2 linked regions of the Drosophila melanogaster genome follow. The protein of the gene in region 2 interacts with the protein of the main gene of each other region in a pairwise test. Each region holds a gene or a part of one and is shown on either strand. Other genes may lie near its edges. The genes, in order: CG15549 and CG13168.

Region 1 (7,782 bases), on a different chromosome or scaffold from region 2:
TCCATTGCGCCGCGTGTCTAATTTGGCCTCATCCATATTATTTTGCCAGATCCGCCCAGAGGCACACCCATTTGTACTCATTCCGTGGAGCGAGTTATGAGGCTCGGGGGCCAACTGCAGCTAATGGTGAGTCATGTCAGCAATTGCTCAGCGAGCCAAATTGCAGCTGGCCTACTCAACCCACGGAGGAGATCCAGAAAAAAGCCGTAAAGGTCAGAAAATCAATCGGCCAGCCGGCCAAAGCAACTAATTCATTTAAATCTAGCAAAATCTGAGAAAATCCCCGGCAACGACCTTCGGGATTTTAAGAGATTTCACGAATGTCAACCGAACGTTTCAACGCCAAAAGCGAAAGCATTCCGCCGGAGATGGGAGCGGACAGCCGGATGGTTGGATGGCGGACACGGAAAGGAATACGGCCAGGGCAGGGCCCAGCCCCGCCCCCCTGTTCATTCCACTGCCCTAAAATTCCGGGCCACGTTAAGCTAAGCAAGCAAATCACCCGGCCGCGCCACCCGTGTGAGCTTTTGGCTAAAATAGTTGGCAACACCACATTAAACAATGATGCCCACAGGCGGCGAGAAAGAGACGGGGCTTGTGCGGCCGAAAGAGAGGCAGCATGTGAGTAGAACGAGAGGGCGATTGCTGCTGTGCGTGAGCGAGAAAATGAGGCAACAGCAAAAGTCGCAGAACTTTAGCAATTTGAAGCTAATATGTTGACAATCTAGCCAAGGAAAGGAGCGGGGCAGGACGAGAAAAGGACGAGGACCACTGGCACCATCTATGGTTATGTGTATTTAAGTCACTGCCAAAGCCGCGCTGAGAAAGGGGCTCCGATGGGGGGTGCGAGAGGGGAAGAAAAGGACCTGCCAGTGATGATATCCACTCCCTGCGAATTTTTAACAAGAACTATCTAGGATATCCCTATCCTCATAGTACATACTTTTTAACCGTTCTCGCCATTGAAATGTAGTAATTTAAATCACATAAAAAAATATATAAGATTTCTTTGACAATAAGATAACATTTTTGCTTGGAATTCGACAAGAGATAGACCTTTGTGACACTAGTGATATGGTTTCGACTTTCACAATAAAAATAACATTATACTTGTCGCTTTAGTATAATAAAGTAAATGTGAGGTATGGCCTGGTTATCAAATTTCCTGACCGGAGACAACATAATTATTATAGAATAGATAGTGTCTACAAGTCTAACGATGAAAATATATTTTTCAGTCTCCTGACAGTTTTCAACAGTATTTTAACGTGATCATTAAAAACAAATACGTGATCGATTTAAAATAAATTTATATGGCTATTTTATTTGGGGTATTTAGTATACTAAGTAATATTTTTTTTAGAGATACTTCCTATAAACATGTCGACTTCTTGCTCACCTCTATGCTGACACATATTATTGACAAATTTCAGCGACTGAATGCGTGCTGTTGGTTTTCTTTCTTACGCTCGTATGAGTAACAACGCAAAGCTCCCAAAAGGGGGCGGAGTGGGAGTGGCCGGCGGAGCAATCCGGGGACAACTCGTAAAAAGTGGATTTTACTGCTTAACTGTGGCACATCAAATGAAACAAATGGAAAACGCACACAACACAGCCACTGGAGTCACGAGCGGAAAATGCGGAAAATGCGGAGGCAGAGGAGATCGCACGAGCTTTCCACATAAATTCGCCCGTCTTTTTTTGCATAAATAAAATAAAATGCAATATTTTCCGCTGCAACTGCAGGCGGCCCAAATCCCTCGCACAAAAGTCAGCAATCAAAACAGATTAAAATATGATTTGACAGCTACGAAAACAAATATAAATGCAGACTGCCATGCAGTCATATGGATATGGATATTCATGTCGCGTTCGCATTCACTTACAAGTTTCAGCCGATTTCAGTTGGCATTTCGATATTGTTTCCATATTTAACTAGAGCCCCCGTCAGGAGGCTCTGACTCCGGCTCCGGATCCGGATCTGGATATATCTTCCTGCGAAGAGGTAAGCCCGCGATTGCGCGATTGCCGCGTGCTGGCATTTTTATCAAAGCGCCGCCGCTGCCTGATGCCTATTAAAAATTTAAATCAATTTTCAATATGGATTGCGCATATCCTGCGATATCTTTGGCTGACACTTTTGTTTTATTATTACAATACCCTCGATGCCAGTTAAGTTCCTATCGTGCTGCTCAGCCGAACTGTCACTGTTTGCAGCTCGTATCTTCGCAACGGATGGCGATAGTCGCGGATTTGGTCGCTTTATGTTTTATGCGCCCAACTCTGTCCGGCTCCAACCCACCTGGTGGCCAAAAGCCAGGTGATTGCAATTATCAGTTAATAAGGACGACTAACTGACCCAAAGCAGATTTGCTGCAATTAGCCAGGCCGCAGGATTCTCGTTCGCAGGAGTGCGTAAGTCGCCAAAGCCCGAAATGCCGGGCAATAATTAAATTATCATTAACGATGTCGGTTTAGCAGGGTCACATGAAACCCAGTTAAGCGGGCACTTTGAGGGGTGTTCTCGAACCCCACCCCCTCACATAGTAACATAGTAGAGGGGAAACTATCCTGTTTTGGGGATCTTTATCAGGGTGACCCAATAATTATGACTTCTCTTCCAGTTGAGATATATCTACACTCGGTTATCTACTTTGAAATAGGTTAGCTTTTTCACTCAGATTTGTACATATTTGATATGAGACAGCTTAGATAATTTAAAATCAAATAATAATCATACAAATTCAAATAGCTTATATATCTAATGACGATAATAGTATTCGCATAATATGGCTTTGAATATGTAACATCCACTCATATTTCAAAAATCCTACGCCGAACCGCAAATCACAGATTTGCGCAGTTTCGACTAACAAATTGGAAAATGTACGAAAAGCAAACCGAAATGCCGCTAAATGGGTTCCGAATGTAATTGTATTTGCATTTGCATTTGGAGCCGAGAGAAGAGCACAACTGTACTTGGGGGCTGTGTGTGCTGTGCAAATCCACGCAAAATTCCCCAAATTCCGAATGGGTTGGGTTCAAATCGAATCGAGAGGGTTGAAGTGTGCTTAAATTCTCATTAGACGCATTAGTGGCGTTGACCAGCTGCCACGCCCACCGCCCGCCGCCGCCTCTTTGCACCTGACCATGCCCGAAATTCAATAATAATAATTGATTGCTTATTACAAACGCACTGCATATGTGTCTCAAATTTATGTGGATATTCTGCTGGTGGTGGGGAAGGGGGGAACGGGTGGAATTTGCTAATATTTACGCATTAGTTTATTTGCCGATGGGAGGTGGTGAACCCCCTGCCAAATCCACCCTGTAAATGCCAAATGACCAATGCACCTGTACGGCCCAAAATCATCATTAAAGTTTAATGTTTTCATTTCGGTTTGTGCACGCAGCAATTTTAATTATTAACTTTATAATTATGCAAAATCACGAATTACATTAGAATCACTTTGTTATGCCGATTTGGTTTACGGTCTCTTTGAGCGGTGAATCGAGTGAATTGCGAGCTGATTTGGCACTTCTAATCAAGACTCGGCTGCCATTCCCCATTCCCATTTGGCCACAATAATTAAGCCCTGTGGAATAATAACCGAAAGCAATAATAACAGAAGTTTAAACTTAACCAACTTTACATACGAATCTCACACTTTTAATATCTAGGGCTAAGTAAGTACGATTGTTTAAAATGAAAGTAATATAATGCAGTATAATATTTATTTTATATCAAAAGTCTTGTTTTATTTTCGAATCATTTGGAACATTTTTTAAAGACTCCCATTGGAATAGTTCTCCTCCCAATGGAATAGTTCTGGGAAAGGCCCGTCGTCTTTGCGATAAGTGGAGCCTATAAAGTCAGCTCCACGATTTCCAAAGCTTCAGTTGAAGAAATTCCGCGCAATGACTTACAAGATCGCCGTAAAGTGGTTCCCTATTTCGCTGGTGCAGGAAGTACTGGCAGCTCAACAGCCAGCGATATCCGAATCGTGGAGCTTTTCACTGGAATCCATACCCACCAAAGTGCTGATCATCTCCAGCGTAGTCCTGATCACTTGTATTTGGATAGGCTGCGCCTACTTCATGGCCAATCGCCATCAGAAGGCGGTCCAGTATCTTCAGAGCCAACTTGACGAACTGTGGCTGCTGCAGGCTAAGCCCTCCGTTTGGCCACATGCTCCCTTCATCCCAAATGCCCGGGAGCAGAATCCGCCGGAGTATATTCCGCCTATGGATCCCCAGGAGCAGGAACAGGAGGCCAACGAGGCGCGGGAGAGGGCAGAAAAAGCCAGGGCATTTTTGGAGACCAGAAACAAACATAAAGATAAAGAGTGAGATAAAACCGATTTTAAGTGGAATTATAAATATTAACTTTACAACCTTGCATATATATTAAAAATGAAATTATACAATACTTAGATAGTTTCCAACTATTTGCTTTAGTTTTATTAAAATACATGTTGCAGTCAGCACTGACTTAGCCTTAAATTTATTTGAGAATCCTCAAAATTCATGCTATTCGACGTGTGGCAAAAAGTGCAGTATGTTGGCCAATCTGTTGACCCTAAGCTGCCTTCTGGCCCAAATTATCCCTCGGATTTGGGGGCAGTATGCGGCGGTGAACTGCTCAGATCCCAGGATCGAACTGACATCCTGTGGCCGCTTCAGTACGAACGGGTGCTGTGCCAAGGGATGTGTGAGGAATGTGCGCGGAAGGTGCGTCCAGGAGGAGTGCACCGCATCCTGGAGCGGCTGGCTTCAAAGGCCAGTGACCATGAGCTGCTACTTCCACTGGTTCCTGCTGATCTTCGCCGGGCTCATCACGGCCCTCATGCTGGGCCTGGTGGCCTGCAACGCGGCCTGCGAAATAAGGCGCTACCTTCGCCAGCGGAGAATCGAGCGATTCAGGCGCTTCAGGGATCTGAGCGGAGTCTCCATTGGATCCACTCAGTGCTAGAGCACGTGTGAGCATGAGGTCCTTGGACTAAGGGGCTGGGAATCAGGAAGGAAGTGCCGAGGGATTTACCATAATCTGCAATACATTAGCGGCAGCTTTGCTCTGGATTCCAATTCAATTCTTTGGGTATCTCCGGCCAAAGCCATGTAAATTACGATTCGCCACCTCGGAAATCCTATTAGTAGTTAAAACCTGATTAGGAAATACTTGCGGCCGAGCCTCGGGCTCACATTTGCTGAAAGCAAATAATAATAAATGGCTCTCACATGCGAGATGCTTTGTGGATACATGCCCTCCAGGGTGACACCTCCTCCGGAGCAAGTCGAAGGTGGCGTGGAATTCAGATGGCTGTGGAGTCGAGTCAAAGGTGCAATAACCCAACCGAGCGGGGCACATAAAACTAAATGGCTGCGGGTTGCGTTGCCAGTCCTCGAAGTCCTTCCCAGACCCCGGACCCCGGTCCCGGATCACCAGCTCGCTCCTCTGCGGATTCAGTAGCTATTGCGGTGGAGATAACAACCATAAGGGTACACCCGAGGGCACTCAGAGAGGAGCGTTGCAAATAGGATTGTGTATATTTTGTCACAGCTTCTTTCTGTTTTAAGTGAATGAGAGACTATTAAAATCGGGAAACTAAATATTTTATTTCAACCTATAGTCTTTAGTCTCTAGTCTATTTCACAGTATTCGCTTTAATATTTAAAGCCCCTCTGCTTCCTAATAGTTCTTCGTTTTTTTTTTTTTTTTTGTTCATTTCCCCTGCTGTTCAGCTTATGTGTGCGAATATAAATGTATATATTTTTAGTATAACTGAAAGTCAGTCAGGCATGCAGCCAAAGCTAAACGCGCTGCCAACCGCGCAGAAAATGAAATGGAAAATATTGGCGGGCGGGGGAGCTGGAAAAGCGGAAAATAAAAAGGAAATAAACGAGCCAAAAAGGAAAAGCTTTGCGAAAAGGTTGCCCATGTGTGTGGAGTGGTGGGTGGTGGGGGGTCGGGCTGGGGGTCCCGGGTAGCAGATTTAGAGGTTGCTTATGTGTGATTTAGTACAGCATGCGCGAATATGGCGGCGATAATTCTTTAAAAATTGGAAATTGTTTTCCAATCGATTTCGCATTTAGCCAAAAAGCACTCAACACAAAGACACAAAGGGCCGCCAACGAGTGTCTTTTATAAACTTGTGTAGTTGTTCGGTTTCGGATTGGCTGGGCCGCACAAGCGGATTGAACCCATACGAGTGTGTATTTATATTTGATAAAAATGTATGAAAAATACGATATTTCGTTATTTTTCACCTGGCTGCAGCTTTGAAAAGGATTTGGCAGCTGAAATCATGGATTTGGATTTGGCTTTGCCATTGGCTTTCCGTGTAGTTTGTTTATTTTCCTGGCTTGTCAAGTGAAAAGCGTTTGAATGAATTTGAGAGAGGGAGAAAAGGAACATTTTGTCTGCTCAAAAATGTAGGGCAATTAAGTATGAACAATAAGATTACAATATCCAAGGAAATGAGGGGTATTTACTTAGATATTTCATTGAAATTCATTTGACACTAACCATCGCTGAATCTCCATTAATTAATATAGGTAATTTCTGCCTGTGCACAGATCAGAATCAAGGCTGGCCAACTGTTTTAACCACATCAACCGCCCATCCTCATTCAGCCAAGTTTATATAAAAGCGATTCTCATTTCTTGATGCCCGTAAGCAACCAAAACATTTGCTCGCATTGTGTGAGTCCTGTACAAAGGATACAATGGGCACAAAAGGTTAGATACACACACATAGCAGGGGGCGTGTTTCGGTTTTTTTGGGGTGGACCCAAGGACCAAGGAGCAAAATGCGGGGAGTGGGCGATTCGTGACATATTTTATTTGCACAATGACAATACGAGTTACTCGACAGGGGCAAACGTTGGCAGTGGCCGGGGCGGGGAGGGGGAAGGACATCCGCAACCCGCCATTACACAAACACACCCTCTTCCGTTTCCTCTGCCCTGCCACCCACACCAGCCCACAATTACAGTTGGCGTTGGAAGGGTGGCGGAAAGTGGGTGGGGTGAACAGAAGCAGTGGCGCACAAAGTAGTAAAATAAGTGCAAAGGATAATGCGAATTGAAATGACAAAACCCGGAATAATCATTGGCTCCACACTCTCGGAGATAACGAATGGGTGGGGTTCTCGAAGTGGTGGAGGAAGAGGCAGTCTCCGAATGGGGAACGCTGATAAGGGGCAAACCTTTTAGCGTTTTGCCGACGGCTTTCGCGCTCAGCTGCTTAAACATTTCATCAGCACCTAGACTGCTTCATAAAAAGTTAGTACGCAGATAAAACAAAAGTAAAGATGGCAAGTGTATTAAATGGAATGGTCTACGGAGTATTAGAAATCAGATGTGGCGTTTATTACCAAGTATTTGTAGGCGGTATAGGTGGTATTGCTTGGAATATTGACTTTTCGTGCGTTCATATAATTTTGATATTGAATAATTTTGAATGCAACAATGAATCAACAGCTCCTTGGCCTTGATTTCTTCAGCCATACTTATGGCTCTTAGGGAAATTAAAATGTGCTCATTTTGTTGCCAAGTCCCTGGGATTGCGAAAGCCCCCACACACACTGGCATCAAAATCAAATTGCGCGCATGACAATATTGTCAATTTTATTTGCCGCCATTTTTATTGCAATCTCGCTGCGATGTCCCCTTTTGCCGGGGACTATCCTATACTTTTCAGCTCCTTGGGCTACGTCTATTCCTTCTATTCCCGGACGAGGAGGCCGGGCCTCGTAAAATATTTTTATGTATTTTTTATTTA
Region 2 (8,311 bases):
ATGAATTAATTATAATTACCACATGCTCCAGAGCATTGACCCTCATGTTGGTCTGCAACGAGGCTGCCTCCAGCATTCGCACTTGGTATTCCAGAGAGGCGAACTCCACCAGTGCCTTGAGTGCCTTCGTATAGGAGTCCCTGATTCGGCTCACTTGCATACCGCCACAGCTGAGACCAGCCAGCGGAAAAGCGCCCACGCCCTTCGTCTCCAGCTCCAGGGTGTTCAGCTTGACGCCCACAATTTTGATCTCCGTGCGGCGTAGCGATACGGTTGCCACGTGGCTGCGGCTTACCATCTGCGGCTTGAAATCGGCGCCCAGAAGATTGGCCTTTGCCATCGAGAATATGGCATTGCGCATCGCCTCATCGCCGTGCATGTCCTGGTCGAAGCGGATGCGACGCAATTCGCGTAGCTTCATATCGATGGCGTCCCGCTTCCGCTTGAGGAGACCCACGCCCCTTCTAGCCGCCAAAACGCGCTGCTTCATGATCACCGAATTGGCGCGGGATGGAAAGATGGGCAGGATATCGCGTTTGGCCATGGCGGTGACTTTGGAATTGGACTCTGATCACGTAGAGTTTGAATTTGGCCGAATTGTAGACTTTGTTACAAACGAATTACTGATGTGAGTATAAAAACATATGTATATTTTTAAAACCACGCTTATAAGAGGTTTTCAAATGCTTATGGAATAAATATGAAAATTGTGGAAGAGTGCTATGAATTAGCTGGGATTTTATGACTCAATCGGCAAAAAGTCAACAAATTTACTCCCTTGAATTCTTTTCGAGCTTATCAAAACTTTCAATTTGTATAGTGAATGCAGTGGTGTATATTATAAATATTTTGTATGAATAAGAAATTTTAGTGCTTGCCAAAATAAGAATTAGAAATGAATAGTTATTTTAGGCTGTAATTATACTAATTAAACTATTTATCAATCAGTTAAATGAATTGTTAACCCTATAATTGAAAAAAAAAATACCAAACAAATTCCTGATCCGCCAAAATCATTTTAAATTACTCATACGCATAGTTGCCTATGGAAAATTACGCATACGCAACGTTGCCTTATCTATGCCTGATATTTAAAACAGCATTTTTATTTAGCTCTCGAAAATGATGTTTTAATTTACATTAGCTTAATCCCTAGAAAATGGAATCATTCACATATAATACATTTGTTATTTGTGCTAAAGATAATGTCCACAAATCGGCAAACCAGCGAATGCGTGTGTGTGTGCAATTACAATGCGGAACGTTTGACCATTCCACTGGGATTTCACATTGCCCATTGGACAGTTGGCCACTGGACACCATTGGACGGCGATTTTGCCCATTTTCCAGCTGCCGTACGATTTCCTTTGCCGCAGCGAATTGTCGCAATGTGGCGCCGCTTGGTGCAACGCAGCCTTGGCGCATTTGCAACGCATGCCAACAAGTTAAGTATGTTAACCTCTGGAAAATTAGACATGCCACAAGGGTTGGTGGTGCGGTGTGAGCTGGGCGTTGGGCGGTGGGTGGTGGGTGATGGTGTGGCAATAGCGATGGCTAGGTAACGAAAACGAGAATGAAAATGAAGTAACAATGCAGCAAACATCGGGCCAAAAGAGCGTTTGTAGTTGTCGTTGTCGTAGTCGTTGTCGCTTGGCGACGACAGCAATGCGCCATTTTTCGTTCGCCCCGCAAGACATGAAAATTTGGCTTTTCCCTCCATCGCTGTATGTGTGTGTGTGTGTGTGTGTGTGCGTGTTGGGTAAACATTCTGCCAGGCGTTTTCATTCTCTCTTGGATTTTCGCAATCGCAGGGAAGCCACACATTTCGCCCTCTGACCCCATAGAAAAAACCGCGTTGACAATGTCTTAGGCGAAATTTATCGCAGTTCAATAGAAAAATATTTAATAAAATTGGTTAGCCTTGCTGAATAAAGGAAATAATCATTTCTTTACTCTAGAATATATAAGAAATTCCAGAAAATTTCTGTGTGTTGTCAAGTGCCAAGTAAACACGATTTAATTGCGAGTAAACATTTGCCTTTTCTCTTATGGAAATATTAATTTGCATACATGGGTACTTATGCATGCTTAGTGATTTTCATGCCACAAAAGCTTGCAAACAACAAATGAGCTCAAGCAAACATAACTTTTTAGCATGTGACAGTTTTAAAAAATAATGAGAAAACAGGATACATATATACACGTTAGTAGTAGTAGAAGGTTGGAATATATTCGTATTTCTACATATAAATTGTACAATGTAGAAATATACAGAGATCCGGTTTGGGACACTACTTTCCCTTCTTGCCCTTGCCCTTTCCCTGGCGCTTCCTCTTGCGCTGATCCTTCTTCCACTTGCGCCAGTATTTTTGAATCTTGCCCGCCGCCCGGTTCATCATGAAGATGACCAGCTTCTCCTGCTGCACGCGACGTTCCTCCTCCTCTCGCTTGACCACGATGTTCTTGTAGATGCGCTCCTCCTGCCTGTACTGGACCATAAAATCGTCGAGGACCTTCTTGGCAGCCAGATACTGATCCTCCGCCACCAAATTCTCACGCATCTTTTCGCCCAGGCTGGTATCGTACTTCTTAAGCATACTCTGCAGTTGCAGGAGCAATTTGTTTCTATAAAGGATTGAGAGCACTTAAATAATAAATTACTCGATTTGTAGCTTACTTTTCGCTTCGCAGCTCGTGCTCTTCGGCCAGATGCTTCTTGGTCATCTTCTCGTAGCTCTCCCGGGCATTCTGCAGCTCCTCCTCCAATTCCTTCTGCCTGTCCATGCTGCTCTTGTGGTAGCTTCGCATCGTGCGATGGCACTTTTCACTGTAATTTGTAAATATATTCAAATAAGAATTTCTAGAACTAGAAATCCGAGTTACATTTCGTTCTGAATGGCCACGTTGTTCTGCCACTTCTTATTGGCCAGATCCTCCTCGACCTTCATCAGATAGATGCCCTTGGCGGCCGTCTTCCATTTGCCAATCACCTTCTGGAAGGCCAGGCTCGCCTTCAGTTCCTTGATTTTCTTCTTGATGTCCACATTCTGATGAAAGATGGCATGGAGCTTTCGCTCCTTGGTAATCTCGCTACGCGAGGATCGGTGCAGATGGACGTGGGCGCTCTCCAGGAGAAAGTGAAAGGCGGCCAGCAATTGGCGATCCCTTTCGTTTAGGTTCTTCTTCAAGTGCGGAAAGAATCGATGAATGCTATGGTTGACCAGGAAGAAGTCCACGATTCGCATGGTGGTGTGGTCATGTGGCAGCTTGGAACGTCCACTCTGCTTGCCAAGGTGGCGGATCATGTCATCGATGGGCTCGAGAACCTCCTCATAGCAGGTGTCCTTCAGGACGCTCTTCAACTTCTCGGGATTCTCCAGCAGCTTCGGTATGATCATCGCTATCTTGATGCGCTCCTGGGACATCTTGAGCACACGTTCCACTCCTTCCAGTCTCACCTGACGTTCGGCGGTGGTATCTGGAAGGAAAAAGGATATGACTGGTTTTGTCTTAAAACATTCATTTTATACTAACCCATTTTTACTTAGCAGCTTTACGGATCCTGGCGCATATATAAAATCCTCATTGAAAGATTTTCGTTTACACAGACATTAATAACTTTACAAAATTTCCTTTTTGCGATATAATTGTGTGCCGGGTTCTTTTAAAATGTATTAATTTAAACGACTCTCGGATACAACAGGAATTTTCTATTTATTATTAACGAAATCACGAAGTTAAAGCAGATAGGTGCAATTAATCTGCCGCAACCTGGAAAGTGAAGCTTTTTTTTCCATTAAATGTTCTTGAGCGTATTTCACTTGTTTGAATATTCTTAACTTCTATGCTTCTTTTGTTTTTTCTATAATTTATGTTTTTCCGATTTTCTGGCTATGCTTGTGTCGAGGTCTTTTTGAATTCTGAGCCGAGTTTGTTATTGTTTTTGGGGATAAACAAACATGGCTTGCTATGTTGACCGTGTTGCCTGGTTGCAAAGCCAAAGAATATATACCAAATAGAAACCCTTTCGATCAAGGAGCAACTGAAGAAGGGGGCGTGGCGAGGGGCGGTAAATTTGAATGGCACTTTCATGGCAATGACTGGTAGAAACTTTTGCCAAGTGCAGTAGTCGACAATGAAGAGTGTGGGGCGGTTTTCTAGGGGGCGGTGGGCGCTCGCCTTCGGTGGGTGGCTTGTTGCTTGTGTGTGGCCATGTCGCATTATGTCAACTGACGTGGCATGAATGAAAGCTGCTGCAGCAAAGCAAACGAGGGAAAATGCGCTGCAGAGGGGCTTGCTGGGAAAAAAGAAAACCATAAGAGCATGAAACGAACTTGTGAATGCAGAACAATGTTGGTGGGTGGGGTTGGTGGTGGTGGTGAAATGTTCCTCACTCAGGTGGAAAATCTACCTAATGAAACTGGCATGAAAGGGGGAGCCACAGAGTGAATGTAATCTGGGAGCCCTTCGCTGCAATCTGCCAAAAATCGGATTCACTAGTACAGTGGAGTCTCAGCACATCCTACCTAATTTAATTTTAAATAAATTTTAGTTACTTAGACGAAGTAATAATATAATAAGGGTCAGTACTTTTTCTTAAAATGAATAAATATATAATATGTTATAACTAAAGGCAGTAGTAATTGCATAAATGAGCTAGCAAATAAAATGCTGCAATGCGAACCAACTAAAAAAAGGAAGGGCAAGATGAAAGGGAAGAAAAATAAAATTGAGCAAGACATAATATTTGTTGTTGCCTTTGCAAAAAGAGAGATGTGTGAGAAAAAGCCAAAAGAAATGACGCATAAACAAGCAGAGAGAGCAAGAAGAGAGAATGTGCTTTCAAAGTGTGCAGCAAAACGTGTAAAGTAAAAAGGGACATAACAAGAGAGAGAGAGAGATTCAGAAAGAGAGAGCGAGCGCCTCAAGTTATGCATCGAAATTTGAAATTCAGGAGTAACGGGAGAGCGCCCTACAGTATGCAGCCAAATAAGGCAAGTCTGCAGAGAGAACGAGAGTCTTGCGCACACGTATACGTAACAAATGGCCATGCAAAGCACGAACGCAGAAAAACGCTAACGGTACTGCAAAGGAGGTGCAGGGCAAAAGCAAAAATCCAAAGCCAAAATGGTTCGCTCTCCTGCTGGTGGCCCACATTCGCTCAGCTGAGCTCGGCTTTACCGTTAACCGATTAGAGACTTACCGCTTACCATTTACCGTTTCGGGCCGTCTGGCCCTGGCTCATTATGTCCCGTTGCCTTGGCAGTATTGTTGTATATTTTTATAGTCGTCCTCACTCGACAGTTTCCTTTTGAGTTCTATTTCTCCATTTCCATCCCCTCTGCACATCTGCTCTCACATAGATTTCACAGAAATGTGGGCCCGTTATGCTCGGCCTGGCCGCATTGCAGCTATAAATTTGTTTGTGGTTCACATTTGCCTTGGAAGATTACTTTTGGCCATAGTCGTCGCGCAGAAGTGGGCGACAGAGAGGGAGAGGCGAGAACAGCGGAGATACCGCGGAACAATGGACTCAAGGAAAGGGAAACGAGAAACAAGAAACGACTAACTAACTGTGCTTAATGGTGGGTGGTGGTTCGTGGCTAGGGAATGGTGGGGATGGGGAATGGAATGGAATGGGGTGGAAACCCCATAAAGAACCTTTTTGAGAAAGTGTTATTATAATGCTCGGGCTGCCATCGGGAAGGTCAGGTTGTTGGGTCTCGTACCAGCGGAAGCTAAAGATATGCCCCTGGGTCTGGTCTTCCTTTGAGCAGGATGGCTTGGTATTTTCACGATAAAATACGAATTTAGTTTGCGGTAGTTTCGCTTTAAAGAAAATAGATCTAGATTCGTGTTAGGTTGTGGTAGTTTGAGATGGGATTATAAGAGCAGTGTTTATAAACAGATTTAGATTTTTAGTTCTTAGAAACCTTGAAACTTAACGAGAACATCTTATAATATTTTTTCAAAGTTATACTTTCACTATTGGCTTCTCATTAAGAGCGACTTAACGAATTAAAGCATTCGTATGAAGGCGCTTTTCCGGGTAAATTATAGCCACGGACAGGATTATTATGCCTCGGAGTACAGTACAGTTATAGTTTCCTTTTCCCACAACTCGATTGTGCTCGGAAGGCATTCAGTTGCCGCGCAGGATCCATTTGGCCGGGCACCTGGTTTTGTCACCTGAGCGAGGACCAAAGGAAGCGCTCGCACTGGCAAATGAAGTGGCACCCAGCCCAGTTCTCGCCCCATTGAATCCTGTCGCCCACCTGGACAACTTTCCTCTGAATTTTTCATGGCTTTCTTGGTGTTTTTTTTTGGTAATTTCTCTGTCTTTTTTTTGGGTTTTTCCCTGTCTTGTTTCCGTTTGGCAGTTACACTTTTGGACTGTAGTTTTTGGATCTGTTCCGAGGCAGTCTGGCATGTATTTTGAGTTGGTAATGTTTGGCACATTTTATGGAGCAACTTGCACTCAAGTTGCCCCGAGAACTTTTGGCTTTTGCTTCCGTTTGGTTTGACTTGCCAACCTTCTCTGTAATTTGAATGTTCTGAACTGTGAAGCGAGCGACAGAACAAACTGTCGTTCAGAACCTGCAAAGAGTTAACTTGGCTAACAAAGTGTATCCAGCCAAGCCAAAGCCAAGCCACCCAACCAGCCTACCCATCCACTCGACTTGGTTGTTTCAAATTTTTGTTGCTATTAGAAAAGTTTCTGTTCGCTTTGGCGAGCATTTTTTTCCTCATTTTTTTATAATAATTTAATAAACTATCAAAAGTTTGGGAAAGATTTAGCTTTCGCTACGCTTGGAGAACAAACGAAATTGAAATTCAAGCAGCAAATCCAAATCAAGGATTCCAGGACCTTGGCAAGTTTATCAAAGAAATCCGGGCAAAAACAGTTTCAAGAAACTTTAATTGGATCAGCGTAGATATTGACATTTCCTAAATGGGGGCCGTTGCAGAAATGCCAAAGTAATTACATACTTAATACATACAAATAATATCCAATTACAGGCATTTTTGTATTAGCTATTAAGTTTACTTTTCTGCTTACATATTTTCATCACGCAACATTCATGTAGCTTCTGCTTCTGCGAACCTTTGCAGATACTTAATTATGATATAAGATGGATATTTTATTTCATACATATTTCAGCACGTGCTGACTATCGCCTGGCTGTGATCATCTTCAAATATTGTATTTATTATATATTTTCTGTTTGACCAAAGTCAACAATAAACGACAAAATGACCGCACGTGCACCGGGTTTGTTTGCCAAACCTCACTTCCGTCTCCCTCCCCCCTCCCATATCCTGACTTGCCTGTTTAATTTAGGCCAAAAGCAGCAAATGTCCGGGCCAAAATGATTGATGATATTGCGTTGCGAAAAAAAAATGGCGAACAAAATTCACTTGTTAGTGGTAAACCCAGCCGCTTACTTTCATCTGACTGATTCCTCGCGAAGCCGGCGAAAATCTCTTCAGACCAAGTTAATAAATTGTTTGGTGTATTTGTTGCATTTAGCGCCTACACAATTTGGCAAACTTTGTAATGAAGTCGCTGTGGGAGAGCCCTATATCAGGTTTCTCATCTTGTTTGCGATACAGTCGAAAATAAAACTCGATACAAAATGCCAGCGAAATTGTATTTTAAGTAAAGTACACATAAATTATGTTTATAGTATCTGAAAAGTGTGTATGTTATCGTTTCTATCCTAAATTCGAGTGTTGAGAACTGAAGCTTTAAATTCTTGATTTTCAATGCATTTTTTTCTGTTTATGAGGTGTTTAAAGTACTGATTTTTTACTGTAGTGAACTCCGCGTTTGTTCTCTGGCTTTCGTCCTTTTGCCGTTGCTGTTCTGTATGCAAGGCACGCAAATTTGTTGCCAATAAGCGGCCGAAAACAATTTTTATAAGTCTTGACTGGGAAGATGACTGGGTTAAGGTGGCAGGGGGGGCAGAGGGGAGGCGGACTGGCAGGACTGCCAGAGGGGAGTCCTTTTTTCCTATGCGTGCTGCGTGCTTTTCTGTTCTTCTGCTTTCGCTGAGCTTCCCGCGCTCCCCGGACTTCCTGCTTTTTCGGATGCGGCCAAGGGTGAGATGGTGGCTTCGAGACCCTGGAGTTGCTTAGCTACATCGTCGCCCGGATCCGGAATGTAGGTCATGTTGGACGCCGTTTTGGAGGAGCTACCACTTCGCCAAGTAAGCGAGAGAGAGAGAGGAGGAGAGAGAGAGAGAGATATCGCACTCACACGCACACACGCATAGAAGCATTTCCACCAACCAACACACTGCCAGCATTC

Evidence for each region.
Region 1: the proteins of CG13168 (region 2) and CG15549 interact in a two-hybrid assay, tested with the Drosophila melanogaster proteins (one large-scale study listed by BioGRID).

Annotation. Positions count from the first base shown.
Region 1 is NT_033777.3:30,933,235-30,941,016, reverse strand, and holds CG15549 (uncharacterized protein), read left to right. Parts: upstream 1-4,509; 5' UTR 4,510-4,558; coding exon 4,559-4,972; 3' UTR 4,973-5,621; downstream 5,622-7,782. Other genes in the region: CG15550 (uncharacterized protein), read left to right, coding at 3,919-4,350.
Region 2 is NT_033778.4:12,249,588-12,257,898, reverse strand, and holds CG13168 (uncharacterized protein), read right to left. Parts: upstream 3,908-8,311; 5' UTR 3,539-3,907; coding exon 3,535-3,538; intron 3,479-3,534; coding exon 2,884-3,478; intron 2,828-2,883; coding exon 2,678-2,827; intron 2,626-2,677; coding exon 2,292-2,625; 3' UTR 2,198-2,291; downstream 1-2,197. Other genes in the region: Vha36-2 (vacuolar H[+] ATPase 36kD subunit 2), read right to left, coding at 20-544.